Linked DNA regions of Saccharomyces cerevisiae S288C. The protein of the gene in region 1 purifies or fractionates together with the protein of each later gene. This does not show direct contact. Each region holds a gene or a part of one and is shown on either strand. Other genes may lie near its edges. The genes, in order: MEF1, MTF1, MOD5 and GRX5.

The links.
Region 2: the proteins of MEF1 (region 1) and MTF1 fractionate together in Saccharomyces cerevisiae (co-fractionation; one large-scale study listed by BioGRID). This does not show direct contact.
Region 3: the proteins of MEF1 (region 1) and MOD5 fractionate together in Saccharomyces cerevisiae (co-fractionation; one large-scale study listed by BioGRID). This does not show direct contact.
Region 4: the proteins of MEF1 (region 1) and GRX5 fractionate together in Saccharomyces cerevisiae (co-fractionation; one large-scale study listed by BioGRID). This does not show direct contact.

The regions. Positions count from the first base shown.
Region 1 is NC_001144.5:270,073-275,526, forward strand, and holds MEF1 (Mef1p), read right to left. Parts: upstream 3,844-5,454; coding exon 1,558-3,843; downstream 1-1,557. Other genes in the region: PET309 (Pet309p), read right to left, coding at 1-638; FYV7 (Fyv7p), read left to right, coding at 936-1,391; D-xylulose reductase XYL2, read right to left, coding at 4,069-5,139; RGR1 (Rgr1p), read right to left, coding at 5,306-5,454. UniProt on the Saccharomyces cerevisiae protein: Mitochondrial GTPase that catalyzes the GTP-dependent ribosomal translocation step during translation elongation.
Region 2 is NC_001145.3:722,790-726,968, forward strand, and holds MTF1 (RNA polymerase specificity factor), read left to right. Parts: upstream 1-1,836; coding exon 1,837-2,862; downstream 2,863-4,179. Other genes in the region: TATA-binding protein-associated factor TAF7, read right to left, coding at 1-1,596; RRP5 (Rrp5p), read right to left, coding at 3,145-4,179. UniProt on the Saccharomyces cerevisiae protein: Mitochondrial transcription factor that confers selective promoter recognition on the core subunit of the yeast mitochondrial RNA polymerase. Interacts with DNA in a non-specific manner.
Region 3 is NC_001147.6:835,103-839,460, forward strand, and holds MOD5 (tRNA dimethylallyltransferase), read left to right. Parts: upstream 1-2,571; coding exon 2,572-3,858; downstream 3,859-4,358. Other genes in the region: TPO4 (Tpo4p), read right to left, coding at 1-1,329; RIM20 (Rim20p), read right to left, coding at 3,982-4,358. UniProt on the Saccharomyces cerevisiae protein: Catalyzes the transfer of a dimethylallyl group onto the adenine at position 37 in the anticodon loop on a specific subset of tRNAs both in the cytosol and the mitochondrion, leading to the formation of N6-(dimethylallyl)adenosine (i(6)A).
Region 4 is NC_001148.4:442,316-445,999, reverse strand, and holds GRX5 (monothiol glutaredoxin GRX5), read right to left. Parts: upstream 1,422-3,684; coding exon 969-1,421; downstream 1-968. Other genes in the region: ATP-binding cassette multidrug transporter PDR12, read left to right, coding at 1-158. UniProt on the Saccharomyces cerevisiae protein: Monothiol glutaredoxin involved in mitochondrial iron-sulfur (Fe/S) cluster transfer. Receives 2Fe/2S clusters from scaffold protein ISU1 and mediates their transfer to apoproteins, to the 4Fe/FS cluster biosynthesis machinery, or export from mitochondrion.

The DNA.
Region 1 (5,454 bases):
AAGTTTCTCAAAACTATCTTGTTCTCCATATAATTCGTAAATTCACAATGTCCATTCACTAGTTTCATCCATTTGACCCATTTATATACAGCTTCTTCATGCATATTCATTATAACCATCCTAGAGAAAATCGAGTTAATGAGGTCTATCACCATTGTCTTTTGTGTTAATAGAAACCGTTGTATGATATCAGAGATTGCCTGATCTAATTGAATACCTCTTTGTAAAATCAATAAAGAGAGAAGGAACTTTTTCAATTCAGGTAATGAGGCATCCTGTTTTAACAATCTTTGTGAACCAATAGTGGTATAAAGAAACTTCTGTGCAATTTTTATAACGTTCCCATAGGCCTGGTGCCGATAAAGATACTTTATAAGGTACTGTCGTTCAAATGTTGTGGTAGCTGAATTACTTGTTATTGATGTTGTTGCTTTCTTTGTTAATCCACTGCCAACCGACTTTAGAGGAACACTTCCGCGCGCCATAAAATATGAGACCAGGTTTCTCTCATCCTGTGAGCATAATGGTGACGTCGATTTATCTCGAAGCAGCTTCCTTATATGATCAGGTACGCCGGTACTCCATATACCCTTCTTATAATTATAATTTCTTAATACGGCAGGAGCACACCTTTTCATAATGGCCAAAAAGCGTGTTTCAGTATACTCCAACACCCTTAATCACTTAAATTCGAAGCTTTGTACACTATTGCGGCCTCTTTCCTGGGTATCGAGGCTGCGTTAGCGTCACCTAGAAATCCCACTTTAACTTACACTACATGATTTTTTATTTTTATTTCTCTATTGGCCCGAAAAGTTACTTTTCCTTCAAACAATGAAAAATTTCAAAATCAAACCTCATCGCGATAGTATTAAAAGTGCTTTCACAAGAATGATACAGGAAGGTGGTCAAGTAAGCAACTGAGCAAAATCAATATGGGTACAGCCAAGCAAAATCAAAATAGAAAGAAGTTTACGAGGGAGTATAAGGTTAAGGAGATCCAAAGAAGTATTACAAAGAAAACTAGACTGAGAAAGGAATACCTTAAAGCTTTAAAAGATGAAGGGTATGCCGTACCAGAAAAGGAACCAAAAACCGTGGCAAAAGAATCTGTAAGGAAGATTAAGGAAGCCAGGGCAATAGAGGGAAAGAAGAAACTAGACGAGAAGAAGGAGATCAAGAAACAAAGAAAGAGAATGCAAAAAGATGAATTAAACAAGCAAAGAAACGAGCAATTGGAAAGAATCAGAGTTTCGAAGGAAAAATTTCAGAGGAGAGAAGATAGAAAGAAGAAATTGACTCAAAGAACAAGGACAGGCCAGCCCTTGATGGGCCCTAAGATAGAGGATCTTTTGGATAAAATTAAGACGGATGATACTTATACCTCCTAGATAATGATATTCTTCAAAATTTCTTTTCATTCGTGTATTTACAGAAAGATCTTTTTATTTAAATTTACTTAATTAGTGTGTATATTAATTTTATTTCCTGCCTTTTGTTAATTCCTTTTTATTGGAATTTGTTATTTACAAGACTGTTTTGCCCATGAGGACTTGACTATTTCTTCGCTTGCTTCTTTTGGAACTCAGATATCAATTCTTTTTGAACATGGGGCGCTGTTGGAGCGTAATGACTAAACTCTAATGAAAACTCACCTTTACCTTGAGTCGAGGCTCTTAATGAGGTGGCGAAACCGAACATCGTGCTCAAGGCACATTCTGCTTTTAATGTAAATTCATCATGACCATTTTCGGTATCCTGTATTACTGCTTGTAATTTATTCAATAAACCGATGACGTTACCTTGAAACTCGTTTGGCGATGTTACTGAAACATTCATGATAGGTTCCATGATCACCGGCTGTGCCCTCAGGAAGGCGTCACGGAAGGCTGACATAGTAGCTGTTTTGAATGATAATTCATTAGAATCCACGGCATGAATAGCACCATCATTGATTAGCATTTTAACATCCAAAACACGATGACCGATCAATGGTCCCTTTTCACATACTTCTTCAAAACCCTTACCACATGCAGCCAAATACTTGTCCGGTATACGGCCACCAACAATAGCGGTCTCGAATATGTTGCCTTTGGTAATGTCATCCACGGGAGATAAGGTACCGATAACTCTACCATATTGACCAGCGCCACCAGATTGTTTTTTATGTGTATAATCAAAATCTGCCGGGATGGTGATAGATTCTCTATAGGAAACCTGCGGTTTACCCGTGACACAGTCCACATTATATTCACGTCTCATTCTTTCAACGTAAATCTCCAGATGCAATTCACCCATCCCAGAAATAATTGTTTCTTTAGATTCAGGATCGAACTTCACTCTGAATGTAGGGTCTTCCTTTTGAAATCTGTTCAAAGCCTTCGAAAAATTCGATGCGTCCTTTGAATTTGGCGTAATCGATAACGAGACAACAGCATCTGGAACATACATGGATGACATAGAGTATTGAACGCTACCATCAGTGAATGTATCTCCAGAAGCACAGTCAATACCAAAAGTAGCGCAAATTTCACCTGAGCCAACTTCATCAACATCTTCCATCTCACTAGAATGCATCCTGACCAATCTTGCAACCTTCACTTTTTTACCAGTCTTTACATTTGTAATGTAATTACCTTTTCTTAAACGCCCCTGATATACGCGAACATAAGTCAATTGACCATATTTGCCTTCTTCCAATTTGAATGCCAATCCAACAAATGGCTGTTGCACCGCAGGAACTAAGTTAACCTTGGCTTCGTTGTTGCTCACATCTAGAGCTGTATTCAACACTTCAGAGGGATTAGGTAAGTAGTCTACAATAGCGTCCAAAACGGGCTGAATACCAGTATTTGCCAGTGCGGATCCCATCAAAACTGGTGTAAAAGACCTAGCAATTGTAGATCTGCGAATAGCATCTTTAATTTGTTGCGTGGTAGGCTCCTTTTCTTCCAAAAACATTTCTGCCATTTCATCATCCACATCAGCAAGTGTTTCGATCAAAAGTTGTCTTTTTTCCTCCATTAATGGCTTCAAATTTTCAGGCACTGGCCCTTTTTCTATAATTTCACCATTATCACCCTTGTTGTAAATAGCAACTCTATTAATCAAATCAACGACACCAGATAAGCTTGATTCCGATCCGATAGGAATTTGTACAGCAGCAGCAGGTATTTTTAGTTTCGAATTAAGTTGTTCTATTGCACGGAAGGGATCTGAACCCATACGATCCATTTTGTTGATGAAAGTTACTCTTGGAACATTATATCTACGCATTTGACGATCCACGGTCACAGTTTGGGATTGAACACCTGAAACAGCACAAACAACAAGAACTGCACCGTCTAGTACTCTAAGAGCACGCTCCACTTCGATAGTGAAATCAATATGACCTGGAGTGTCGATCAAGTTGAAATGATAGTTTTTGCCCTCTTTATCCCAAGAGCAGTAAGTAGCGGCAGACTGAATAGTAATACCCTTTTCCCTTTCAAGATCCATAGAATCCATCTTGGCTCCAACATTATCCCTACCACGAACCTCATGAATGGCTTTGATTCTTTTTGTATAGTACAGAACACGTTCAGTGAAAGTAGTTTTTCCGGAGTCAATATGAGCAGATATACCTATGTTACGCAATTTATTACATCTTCCAATATCGTCTGGAGTAAGTTTTTGTTTGATTTCATCCACCAAAACTTTTTCTTCTTCATATGTAGAACGAGCAAGTGGACTCTCATGAAAAGACCTTCTCGAGAAACCTGAAAAAACTTTTGAACATGTGAAAAAGGGTATTCTACCTCCAACCATTTTTCGAGGCACCCACATCATTTTCTGGACACTCATATTGGTGATATATTGCAGTGCTTTCTACCTTCTTCCGTTTCAATCTCCTTTATTAAATCTCGTTTTTTAGATATTTTCATCTTGGAAATTTCGGCCGCTTGTGAAGTTCCATCCCCACAATAATAATGCAAAGTTATCATATTAATATATATATATATAAAAGACATATAAAAAAAATCAAATGTATTGTGCATCTTGGATGCCAAAAGTTACATTTTCTTTCCTTCATTCCGGGCCCTCAATGATCGTCTTGATATTATTTAACGGGTGGTGGCTTGTTTCTTCGAATGCCTCGACAGCATCCTTAAAGCTATAGCGATGTGTAATGAATGGTTTAAGCGAGAGTTTTCTGCTAGAGACTAGCTCGATGGAGTCACTATAATCACCTTGACAGTATCGGAAACAGCCTTGGAATGTCAGTTCTTTTGTTGGAATGATCGAGATGGGAAATTGTATTTCCTCTTGTCCCATTCCAACTTGAACGATCGTTCCACCTGCCTTACAGACTTCGATGCCTGCTCGAACGCAAGGCTCTGCACCAGAACATTCAAACACAACGTCAGCACCTTTCTTGCCGATTGCTTTTTTTATAACACTATCTACAGTAACGCCATGTGGGAGATCACCTGAGTTGACGATGTGGGTGGCACCAAACTGCCTAGCCGTTTCCAGCTTGTTTTCTAATAGATCTACAAAAACAACATCTGCAGCACCAAAGACACTGGCTACTTTCCCGGCTAGCAAACCTATGGGCCCAGCTCCAAAGACGACGCAACGGGCTCCAAACTTGATCTTTGCTAATTTATTAGCATGGATTGCCACTGATAATGGCTCTATTAGTGCTCCTTCCTCGAATGACACATCATCAGGAAGTTTATAGACGAAATCTTTCATGGTCTTATAATACTTTGTCAAGGTCCCATCAAAGGGAGGTGTCGCAGCAAATTTTAAATTGGGGTCCAGGTTGTATCTGCCCTCTTTCATCTCCGGTGAAAACCTGTCAGGTATTCCGGGCTCAAGTGCCACCCTATCTCCTACTTTAAGTGTCTTGACGTTCTCACCTATGAGGGCCACTATTCCTGATGATTCATGTCCCAGCACCATTGGTGATTCTACCACGTAATTGGCTATTCTTCCATGGGTATAGTAATGGATATCTGACCCGCATATTCCTGTCGCCTTGATCTGGATGATTACTTCGTTAGGATCTGAAATCTTTGGGATGCTGACATTAGTTAGGGTGATTTTACCAGGTCGCTCTAGAACAATAGCTTCTTGTGTAGTTAAGTCAGTCATGCTCAATGGTGTTCTCTATCCTCAAGGCAGTATGAATATGTCTTTTTAGTGTGTATGGATATATTTATGTATATACTTATACAGTTTTCAATTTTATTTTGAATTAATTCAGGAGAGGGGTTACAATCTCCTAAGGGATAGTAGCGCCGGTGACATTTTATTCGCTCTAAGATGAACTTGAGTTCGAGTCCACTTTGAGGATATTATGGATTTCCATTAGGATAGGCTCTATCTCACTGGGATCGCAAGCCACGCCATTGCCCAAACGAATGGCATGTGATGCGTTTGCGGGTTTGACAGATTCTGGGGTACCTA
Region 2 (4,179 bases), on another chromosome or scaffold:
CACTTCATCCTCTTCCTCTTCTTCTTCCTCTTCCTCTTCTTCTTCCTCGACGTTATTTGCAGTTTCTGCGTCAGAGCGATGTTGATGTTGTTTCTGGACAGAATCTTCGGTTTGTTGTAACTGCTTACGTTTTAGTTCAGCCTCCTTCTCGAGCTTTTTAATGCTATCTATGAACCTGCTTTTCAAAAGAGGATTCGTGGCTTTACTTAATTTATGCTTGGTATGGGCCAGGGTGGTCTCTAGTTCGTTCAATTCGTCCGCAAGTAATTCAGTGTGCTGTCTGTTTTCGTCTTTTTCGTCATCAGATTCACTTTCCCCACCAGCAGCTTCAATGTCACCGTCGTCATCATCGTCATCATCTTCTCCGCCTGTGTCTTGATCCACCTCATCACCGACTTCCTCTTGTTGTTGCTCCTTGTCTCCCTCGGCACCGCTACCTTCCTCTTCACTTTCAAAAGCAGCGCCTAGGTCAAGATCCTCCTCTTCTTCTTCTTCCATTCCTTCTTCTCCCTCTTCTTCTGCACCTTGTTTTCCTACTGCCGAAGCAATTGTGTGTATCTCTTCTTTCTTTAAAGCAGGTCTAGATAAAGGCTCTCCAGGCTCCTCTTTGAAATTTTCCCAACTAGAAACACGCTCTTGCCTCGCTTGCAGTTCACTTTTATCAACCAGATCATAGCTGACCTCTTCTGCCTGTTTATCTTGCTTCAAAAGCATATCAACCACTTTTTCTACATAGTCTATTTCATTAGGGTCCATTTTCCGTCTAAATCGTCTATTTCGAACATTGTACAAAGGTGGTGATATTCCATGTTTGTAGTCATAGCCCTTCAAAGCTATTTCTTTCAAATGTTTAGCCTCCATATCACTTAAAGGCGCACCATTGTATCCTTTTAAGAAGGTTTCTTTATTCTCCCAAATTTCATCCTCTATGCCTTCAAAATGCTTAACAACCAGATCTTCTGTATCAGGGGCTTCTAGGGCATATACTTCTTCCTCTTCTTGTATAGGTCTTATGCATAGTAGCATTTGTGATACGTCAAATGTCTTCAGGAGGTTTTTTCTATCGACGCTCTTGTTCACTTCTATAACTGTAGGCAAATCTACTAGAATGGCACCATACATTACATCGTTTATTGTTACGACAGCGTGTCTCTCGTTTTTCCACTTGATACTTATCCCAGAATAATCACCTGATTCTAACGAATTTTTTACAAACTCTAACTGTATGTCTGGAAGTATCCTTAATATCACACCACTCTCTATGAGAGGGTCATCTTCAATATCAGAGGCTTCTGAGTCGTACGCTTCCCCAGGAATTCTAATAGGTTTGAGACGTAGCTTTGGCGCCTTGTGTATCTTCTTAACTGGTTCTTCATTTTTTTTCAAGTTTAACTTTAACTTCAATGAATTCTTCTTCTCTTTGCCGTCAGCACTCTCTTTCTTTTTCTTTAGGTTTATCTTTAATTTAGGCTTTGGTTTGATATCTTCATCAGTTACCTTTGTCTTTATGCGAATTCTCTTTAGTTTAGGCTCGCCTTCTAATGGTTGATCCTTCTCTCCTGGTCCTCTGGGTTTTTTAATTCTTATAACAGCCATATTTACGTCGATTATTGCGACTAATTTGAATGGTAACACTGTCTCTTGTTTATGTAGTTCTTCCTATTCTTCTCGCTTTTATTATTTTTGCTAGCAAGTTTTGTCTTGAAATTTTATTTACTGTTCTCATCGGCCGAATAACAGCGATATTATTGTATGATGATAATAGAGATGAAACTTTACAAATGCGGTTACTACGTCAGTCAATACCATTCTTTGAAGTAAGAAGGCTCAGCAACTATGTCTGTTCCAATCCCTGGTATTAAAGATATCTCCAAACTTAAGTTCTTTTATGGTTTCAAATATTTATGGAATCCAACAGTATACAATAAAATCTTTGATAAGCTGGATTTAACTAAAACGTATAAACATCCAGAAGAATTGAAAGTACTTGACCTCTACCCTGGTGTTGGTATACAATCAGCTATTTTTTATAATAAATATTGCCCCAGGCAATATTCTTTATTAGAAAAACGCTCAAGTCTCTACAAGTTTCTGAATGCAAAATTCGAAGGGTCTCCATTGCAAATTCTAAAAAGAGATCCATATGACTGGTCAACCTACTCGAATCTAATTGACGAAGAGCGAATATTTGTTCCTGAAGTTCAATCCTCAGATCATATTAATGATAAATTTCTAACCGTTGCTAATGTGACGGGGGAGGGTTCTGAAGGTCTTATAATGCAGTGGCTGTCCTGTATTGGAAACAAGAACTGGTTGTATAGGTTTGGTAAAGTAAAGATGTTATTATGGATGCCAAGCACAACAGCTAGAAAACTTCTAGCTAGGCCAGGCATGCATTCTAGATCCAAATGTTCAGTAGTAAGGGAGGCATTTACAGATACTAAACTCATTGCCATATCAGACGCAAATGAATTGAAGGGATTTGATAGTCAATGCATAGAAGAATGGGATCCCATTTTATTTAGTGCTGCGGAAATATGGCCTACAAAGGGAAAGCCAATTGCGTTAGTAGAAATGGACCCAATTGACTTCGATTTTGACGTAGATAATTGGGATTATGTCACGAGGCACTTAATGATTTTGAAAAGAACACCCTTGAATACTGTCATGGACTCGCTGGGACATGGTGGCCAACAATATTTTAATAGTAGAATCACTGACAAAGATCTGCTAAAAAAGTGTCCGATTGATTTGACAAATGACGAGTTTATATATCTAACGAAATTATTCATGGAGTGGCCTTTCAAACCAGATATTTTAATGGATTTTGTTGATATGTATCAAACAGAGCACTCTGGTTGAAAAAAGTGCTTTTAAAATTTACTTCATTATTTAATAAATATGTGATTTTAGCGTGTGAATATAAAAAATACATAGAACTCAATCTTCGTTAACACGGAACCATCTTGTAATCAAGAAGCGAGAAGCGGAACTAAAACTTTAAGAAAAGGAGCTCTACGAACCGTCAAAGCTAAATTGATCGATAGAAATTGCTTCTTGAAACTTTACATTCTATGTACTTTACAAATATACTTTACAAACTTAGCCATTTATATTACTTTACAGTTAAAAATCCATCAGGAATTATTCGTCTGCTTTTTGAGATTCATGGCTAGCGACATACTCAGTAGCTTTAGCTTTAACGTATTCAATGGTCTTTTCGTCACCTTCAGATTCCTCAAATTGTAACCATTTATTAAAGAAAAACTTAGCCTGCTTCCTTGTTATTTTTTTGGTTATTATTCTCTCAAATAAATCTTCCACCTTCTTCTTATCTTTTGCCTTCACTTCCTGGTCTACGTAAACGTTCCACAGGTCAATTCTCTTTGGCGCATCAGCAACCAAACCTTCGAATAATGACCGACCCCTTTCTGGGTCACCCTTTGCAAATTCTAATTGAGCAAACTTGCGGACAACCTCGATATGATTACGCTTTGGTAGGGCCTTCAAAGCATTACCTAAAATAGTACGTGCCTCTTGCTCTTCATTGTGGCTGATCAAAAAATCACCCCACGATACCCAGATAGAAACTTTCTCGCCGCCAAATTTCTTAGCTGTAGCTTTGAATAATTCTGCTGCTTTGTCGAACTTTTCACTTATTTCATAAATACCAAGCAGTTTTGTATGAATAGTATATGAGTCCATATACTGACAAGCCCTGCTAAACACTTCTTCTAAAGTTTCTTCGGTACCAAAAGTATTTTCTAAATTCAGCATTGCAATCCAAATATTCAACTTCTCGGCTTCTTCTCTGAAGTTGATGGTCTTTAGCGCACGTTCTGCGAGCTCTCGAGCCTTCTCGATCTCACTCAGTTGTAGTTGGAAAGCCATATAGTTCATCCACACTACGGACGAATTTGGATTACCGATAAGTAGACGTTCAAAATCGGCAACAGATTCTGGTGCCCTAGTGTTGATATCAATGGTCTTATCCTGAACAACATTTTCCTTTCTTCTCTTGTGCTTGTGTTTCTTATTTTCAGTAAAGTCTTCTTGATCTTGGTCAGACTCTTCTTCTTCTTGCGCTTGATCCAAAATGGAAGCAGTCCAATCAAAACCAGCACTCAAGGATAGCCCATCCGAAGATGTTTCAGGCTTCCTATCGGCAACTTCGGTGTT
Region 3 (4,358 bases), on another chromosome or scaffold:
GGCTTGCCAAAACAGGCCGATAGGCAAAGCTACAGAACCAAATTTACAGGCAATTAAAAATTTTTCTGGAACAACGGGTAGCAATTCACCTGTTTCAGCGTCTCTTGCACCTCTGTAAGGGGTAGTCCTTTTAGAAGTTCTCTCTTTTTCGGTGAGTGGTTGAGTGCCAGCTGGTGGTTTAGGGAAGAGATATTTTCTGTCGATGTAAAGGTAAAAGAAAGCACCTATCCATAACCCGACACCAATACCAATAAATGGCAAGCCAGATATCCCCATAGACATGTGGTAAACACCACGATAAATGACAGCGTATGCTTCGAAAAATCCAAATAAAATGGCGAATATGAAAGCGACATAAACACTGAAAACAAATACAATAGGTTCAACGACAAGCATTTTTAAAGGCCTTAAGATTGTAATAGTGACAGTGGTTTTTAAAAATTCTTTCTGAGCTTCCCTGCTGAACTTCTTCAAGGCTATATTTCTCTTCTTGGCACGCTTTCTTAAAATAATACCTTTATGGGTCTCTGGCATGAGCGCAATAAATGGCAAGATTAGACCGCCCGCAATCAATTGGATCCATTCAGACCAACGCCAGCCTTTGGCTTCAGTAGCAAATCCTGCCATAATAGGAGATAAAACTGGCCCTAAGAATGGAGATAGAACAAAGTATGTCATTGCGACGGAGACCTGGTCCACGTCAAAGATATCCAGGATGGTACCTGATCCAACGGATAAGGCGGGGGATGCAAAGACACCTGATAAAAACCTTAGGGGTAGAATTATTCTCATGTGGCCATTGGATAACCCAACACCCATGGTGAAAAGCATTGACACAGGTAGGGAAAATAAATAGACAGGCTTACGACCAAACACTTCACTTAATGGAGCGCCGATGACAGTCGATAAACCCAGAAGATAGAAAGTTAAACCAGCAAGCGCCAAAGTCTGACTAACGTGATATCTTTCTACCAATTCTGGTACGGAAGAAACATATAGGGAACTACCCATTGTGACGACCAAACAAAGAAAAGCTGAAGTCATAGTAGTATACCATTTCTTCAAAGAGGACCAATTATGCGGATTGTCTGGGTCATCGGGCCCGTCCCAATCGAGATCTCTTGGGTCAATTGGCTCGCCCCCTGTCATGTTATTGGAATCTGCATTCGGTTCTGATCTTTTTTCGTCCTCTGTTATTGACCCTGTCGAAGAAGAAGTCGAATCCAAGTTGCCGCTATTAGTTACATTTTTGTCCAAGGCTTTTGGTACCTGCTGTATGTTTGTTCGAGGATCTGAGTTAGATTCGGTTTTTGTCAAAGAAGAAGGCATTAGTAAAACTTAAAATATATGTATACGATGTCTATGCTTCTTTGTGTGTGTATGTGTGTGTATAAGATGGTATCTTTATTCTGTAATTTTCAGGAAAGTGATGACTAGAAAATCGATGTGTCAGGTACAACAAATTGACAACCTATAACTTTCCATACAGGCGAATATATATATACACATAAACACATTCAAGCCTCCGGTACCGTTTGCTCTGACAAGGACAATTAGCATGTAAGCACGAGTGCGGGTATGCAATCATTTCAGTGTTTCCTTCATTTGGCATAGTGTCGTAACACGGATTTAAGGTGAGCCGTCAGGGGCTTTTAAGCGGAGCCCCTGCAGCTTCATGAAGACGGAACCGCACGGGCCTATTACCTCGGGGATAGATCAATTATCCGAAGCGGGTCACAACCCGGAAATAATAACCACTATGCCCGACCGTACCGACGTGGCACTATTTTTGGGATCCGTGGAAGTCGGCCATTAGTGGTAATCGGCGAAAACAAGTTTATTGCAGCTAAAGCACGCCATACGGTTGATATAAACAGCAATTAGGCACTTTTTCTCTTATTATTCATATGCCTTATTGGCTTGTGGCTTGTGGCTTGTAGCCTATGCAAATGCATTTGCTGATAGCAGCATAAGAAAGTTGGGAAGAAACGCTAACTGTACTTTTTATATCCAGAGTTCATTAGTTGATCTTTTACCCCAATAATTTCTTCCACTTGCGGCCTGCTTCTTCGCATTTCTCCCATTCCGGGCCGCGACTCCGTAGTTCTTACAGAAACAGCCGCCTCCATAACCATCTATGATAGGAAAAAGATGGACAAACAGGAAAAGAGCTAGGGAGTATAACCTGATTCCTGACATGTATAGGATTCGGGTAATTTTGAAATACGAAGCTCTTTGCATTCCGAGACCGGTTTAGGAAGATTTATTTACATATCTACTTGCGCTATTGTGGTCATGCCTTCGAAAGATAAAGAGCGAATTTTGCTCGTATAAGCTAAAATCAGGTAAAAGTTCCTTATGTTGCTGCTCCTCGATGGCAACGTCGATCTAAGATCTTGATTACTGAATCAGGCGAAAGCACACGTTCATCTTTCGCTCATCGGAAAGAAAATTAAAACAGAAAAAAATTCTAAAATGGCAAAAAAGAAGAAAAGCTCAGTGAGGGCTGTATAGTTTATTAGATAAGCTACTATACGTACATATCTTTTGTAAATAGAACCAAAAATCTTCATGCTAAAGGGACCGCTTAAAGGTTGCTTAAATATGTCTAAAAAAGTTATAGTGATTGCTGGTACAACAGGAGTAGGAAAGTCTCAGTTGTCCATACAATTGGCACAAAAATTTAATGGCGAAGTTATCAATTCGGATTCTATGCAGGTATATAAAGATATTCCTATTATAACAAATAAACATCCGCTTCAAGAAAGAGAGGGCATTCCTCACCATGTAATGAATCACGTAGATTGGTCAGAAGAATACTATTCCCATCGTTTTGAAACTGAATGCATGAACGCTATTGAAGATATTCACCGGAGGGGTAAGATACCCATCGTTGTTGGGGGTACTCATTATTATTTGCAGACTCTTTTCAATAAGCGGGTCGATACGAAATCATCCGAACGTAAGCTCACAAGGAAGCAGCTCGATATTTTGGAATCGACTGACCCTGATGTGATTTATAACACACTTGTGAAGTGTGATCCTGATATAGCTACCAAATACCATCCTAATGACTACAGGAGGGTACAACGAATGTTGGAAATCTACTATAAGACGGGCAAAAAACCAAGCGAGACATTTAACGAACAAAAAATAACTTTGAAGTTTGATACCCTATTTTTATGGCTATACAGTAAGCCGGAGCCACTTTTCCAAAGGCTTGACGATCGTGTAGACGACATGCTAGAAAGAGGCGCCTTGCAAGAAATCAAGCAATTATATGAATATTACAGTCAAAATAAATTTACGCCGGAGCAATGCGAGAATGGTGTTTGGCAAGTTATTGGCTTCAAAGAATTCTTACCGTGGCTAACCGGGAAAACTGATGACAACACAGTAAAATTGGAGGATTGTATAGAAAGAATGAAAACGAGAACACGTCAATACGCAAAAAGGCAGGTAAAATGGATCAAGAAAATGCTGATACCTGACATCAAAGGCGATATATACTTACTGGATGCCACTGACCTTTCTCAATGGGACACGAATGCATCTCAAAGAGCGATAGCTATTTCCAATGACTTTATTAGCAATCGACCCATCAAGCAAGAAAGGGCACCTAAAGCCCTAGAGGAGCTGTTGTCTAAAGGCGAAACTACGATGAAGAAATTGGACGATTGGACACATTATACTTGCAACGTCTGTCGTAACGCAGATGGTAAGAACGTTGTAGCTATTGGCGAAAAATATTGGAAAATTCATTTGGGTAGCAGAAGACATAAATCCAACTTGAAAAGAAACACTCGTCAAGCTGATTTTGAAAAATGGAAAATAAACAAGAAGGAGACTGTGGAATGAAAATATTAGGAAAAAGGAGTTTATCCTGAGTGTATATATCTACATAAGTGAAGCTGGGTTTTGATAATGGAAAGGGAGGATGACAAGCTCAAAATATACTTTATAGATGAATGAGGACAGGTATCATTGGTCTTCAAATGTCAAACTCTTATCAAGCCTAGCTTTTTCTGCTCTTCTTGCTGTATCATATTCCTGTACCTCATTGTACAGATTGCTGGTAGAAGTAATTAAATTTTCGTAAAATGCTGTGCCGGCACTTAAATTTTCTTTCACCTCATCAAGCAGTTTGAAGGAATATCTCAGATCTTCAATATATAGCTCTCTGGGATCTATTCTTACCATTTTCTTTGGTTCAATCCCGCTTCTGCCGGGGTTATTCTTCTTACTTAGGTTTACTTCCTCAATAAGTTTGATATTTTCTTCCTTTGTACTATTAACGTATCTTAAATCTTCGTCAAAGTATTTTAAATGGCCTATGAAAATGGGTTCAAAGTCGACTG
Region 4 (3,684 bases), on another chromosome or scaffold:
TGATTTGTTACTATGTTGTAAGAGTTAAGGTGTGGTCTTTGAAGTCTGTTTTGAATTTCAAGAAATGGTTTAATGGGCCAAGAAAGGAAAGACATGAAAAAGATACCAACATTTTCCAAACAGTTCCAGGTGACGAAAATAAAATCACGAAGAAATAAACAAGCAAGCAAATATATTTGTATTTCGTGGTTTAACACACAATTTTTATTTTCAATTTTTTTTCACAAATTTTGGCGTCCTTTAACATCATTTTTTTAATTTTACATTTGATTTTACTTTCTATTATTATTTTCCGAAAATTTCACACTAATGTTTTATGTATAGAATCAATATAATTATTTAATATATTAATTATTAATACCATTTAAAAGAAAAGAATTTCATTTCTATCCCACTCGTGAGTAATGGCTTAAAGGCACAATTGTGTGTTCATTATATCCCTATCACCTTCAAAAGGAAGTTTGATCCTTTGACTAACATATTTGAAAGCTTCGCAGGGCAATAAAATTGAGCTCGCCTATTATCTTCCAATCCTTTTACGTTAAAAAAAATGGGGGAAAAGCAAACTGGTAACAGTACGGAATCTATCGAAAATCAAGAGAGTAACAAAGACAACCCCAACAAATGTCTGTCGCGTCTTTCGCACGTTGAATCAGAACGAAGATATGGCTTCTGTCATTCTAAAACTAACGTTTTTTGATTCAAGTCTATGCGGGGAATATTAAATATATTCATAATTCTCACTTCTTTGTTTTATAACGTCAATTCATTTGGCAAAGCAAAGAGAGGGGTTTGTAAGTAGAGAATCTGTTATTTACAAGTCTAAAGGCATGAGAATACATTACAAATCTTTAAAAAAATAGCAAATGTACATGCATATATAAATATGGATCGTAAAGGCCTATTATGCACACGAGTATTAAAGTGTTCGGCCACCAGTTCCTATTTTGCTTCCAGTGGTAACAAAATCAACGATCTTTGGTTTCTTCTTCTTCTTCAGGTACCAATGCCTGTGCCTCTTCTAGCAAATCGGCCAATTCACCAGAGCGTGCCATACTTGTAATAACATCACATCCACCAATGAATTCTTTGTTTACATATAACTGTGGAATAGTTGGCCATTCTGAAAACTCTTTGATACCTTCACGTAGCTCTGGGTCTTCTAAAACATTATAAGCCGCAAATTTGGCCGGGTCAACGCCTTGATTTCCTAATAATCCAATGGTTGCTCTTGAAAATCCACACTTGGGAAATTCAGGAGTACCTTTCATGAAAAGAACCACTGGAGCCGATTCGATGGCATCTTCAATAGCTTTTCTTATCTCTGTGCTCAAATACATCCGATTTTGGTAACGAAGAAGAGTCTTAGCCCGGAGGATGGGGGAAAATGACCTTATGGGATTGAATTTTGGGAGAAACATTGTCTGATTTCCTCAAATTTTTGCTAAAGTCAAAAAGTAAACAGATACCTTTGTGGCCTTGATATATGTGAAAAGAGTAATACAACTTCTTGTCCCTTTGGGACTAGAACGCATTTGTCATCAATACTTTATACCTTTACTTCCTAGAAGTGATTTATTTTGGTCGGGTAACGTTTTTCCAATAAGCTCAGATCAGTGCCAAATACCGGTTTAGACTCTTTACGGCACTAGTTATGCTTTATTGAATAAATTAAGCTCTGTATACTAAATTTAGAATCTCATGATTCCGTATGTAGTAAATTAACAGTTTGTACTATATTATAAAGAAGAATGAATGCATTGAACTTTTTGATCACAAGAAAAGTTGGCGTAGCAATACAACATACCTACTGTTCTCTCTTTGTTCGTGGTACCTTAATTAGTATTGTCGTAAGAAAATCTAAATGTCTTCTTTGGGCTAACTTATGATTTGCATACTTCTACAGTCGTCATAATGGACACCTTGTAATAAAAAGTGATGTGGTTCTCATCTGTTATAATAAATGGCTATGTGCGGCATTCGATGTCGTTTGAGATATTGACTACTAATGTATATTGAGATAAATCTGGCTGTTACCACAATTTGTCATTAGGTAGAAACGATAGCGCATGCTTAAAATAATTATGGATAGAAAACAGCAGTCGCGCTGTATGTAGAAAATATAAAACACATAAGTGATTCAGATCAGAACCCTCCTAAATCCCTAAAATATAGAAGTTCATTACATGGCAGTGATATATTAGAGGTTACCATCCTTTCTTAATATTGATAAGGCTACTAAATTAAGTGTTACTGGAACCTAGTTTCGCTTAATTCCTTTAGCTTTTGCATTCTATTTTTTCTTTTAATCAATCACTAATGAAGAAGCCTTAAGTCAGATAATGCCGTATCTAAGTATTCCTTTTGTAATAGCTCAATTTGTTAAAATACTCGTTCTCCTTGTGTTCTAGTGCATCAATTATCCATAATAATAAGCATATACTCGTACTGAATTATTCAATGGCCTAAATGGCAAGCACTAGCTTGCTCGAAGTTACTAACTGAACTATAAAACATTTTACTCTTTCAATTACTTTTAATTGAATCTTAAGCAGAATCAAAACTGCTTATGACTGCCATATGCTCAATGCGATGGCTCATATTTTCCATTTACATGAACCCCAGTTTATGTTCAAGTAGTATATGTTCTTAATTCAACGCAAACTGCTGATTTCACCATTGAATATTGTTTATATATGATATATACCGTCAAATTACTTCACGACAGTGTGAACTGTGATAAATCACTTGTTCCAACAAAATCCAGTACATTGGGTATTCGATCGCAGGCAATTATATTAATCGGGTATGCTAATATGGATTAGAGCCGTAGAAGCAGAACAAGGAGAATTACTTAATATTTGAAGTTCATTTAATATTCTTTGATTGTTGGAACGAGAGTAATTAATAGTGACATGAGTTGCTATGGTAACAATCTAATGCTTACATCGTATATTAATGTACAACTCGTATACGTTTAAGTGTGATTGCGCCTATTGCAGAAGGAATGTTAAACGAGAAGCTCAGACAATACTGAAGCTGTGTTAAAGACCTATTAGTTGAACATGATATGGTAGGTACATATATGAGGAATATGAGTCGTCACATCAATGTATAGTAACTACCGGAACCACTATTATATTGGTCATGATTAATATGACCAATCGGCGTGTGTTTTATATACCTCTCTTATTTAGTATAAGAAGATCAGTACTCACTTCTTCATTAATACTAATTTTTTACCTCTAATTATCAACATGGCGACCCCAGTGAGGGATGAAACAAGAAATGTTATTGACGACAACATTTCTGCGCGGATTCAATCGAAAGTCAAAACAAATGATACTGTCAGACAGACGCCATCATCATTAAGAAAAGTTTCTATTAAAGATGAACAGGTGAAACAATATCAAAGAAACTTAAATAGGTTTAAAACCATACTAAATGGTTTAAAGGCAGAAGAGGAAAAACTTTCTGAGACTGATGATATTCAGATGCTAGCTGAAAAATTATTAAAACTCGGAGAAACCATTGACAAGGTTGAGAATAGGATTGTGGATCTAGTTGAAAAGATACAATTATTGGAAACAAACGAGAACAATAATATATTACATGAACATATAGATGCTACAGGGACTTACTATTTATTCGATACGTTAACTTCAACCAACAAAAGATTCTACC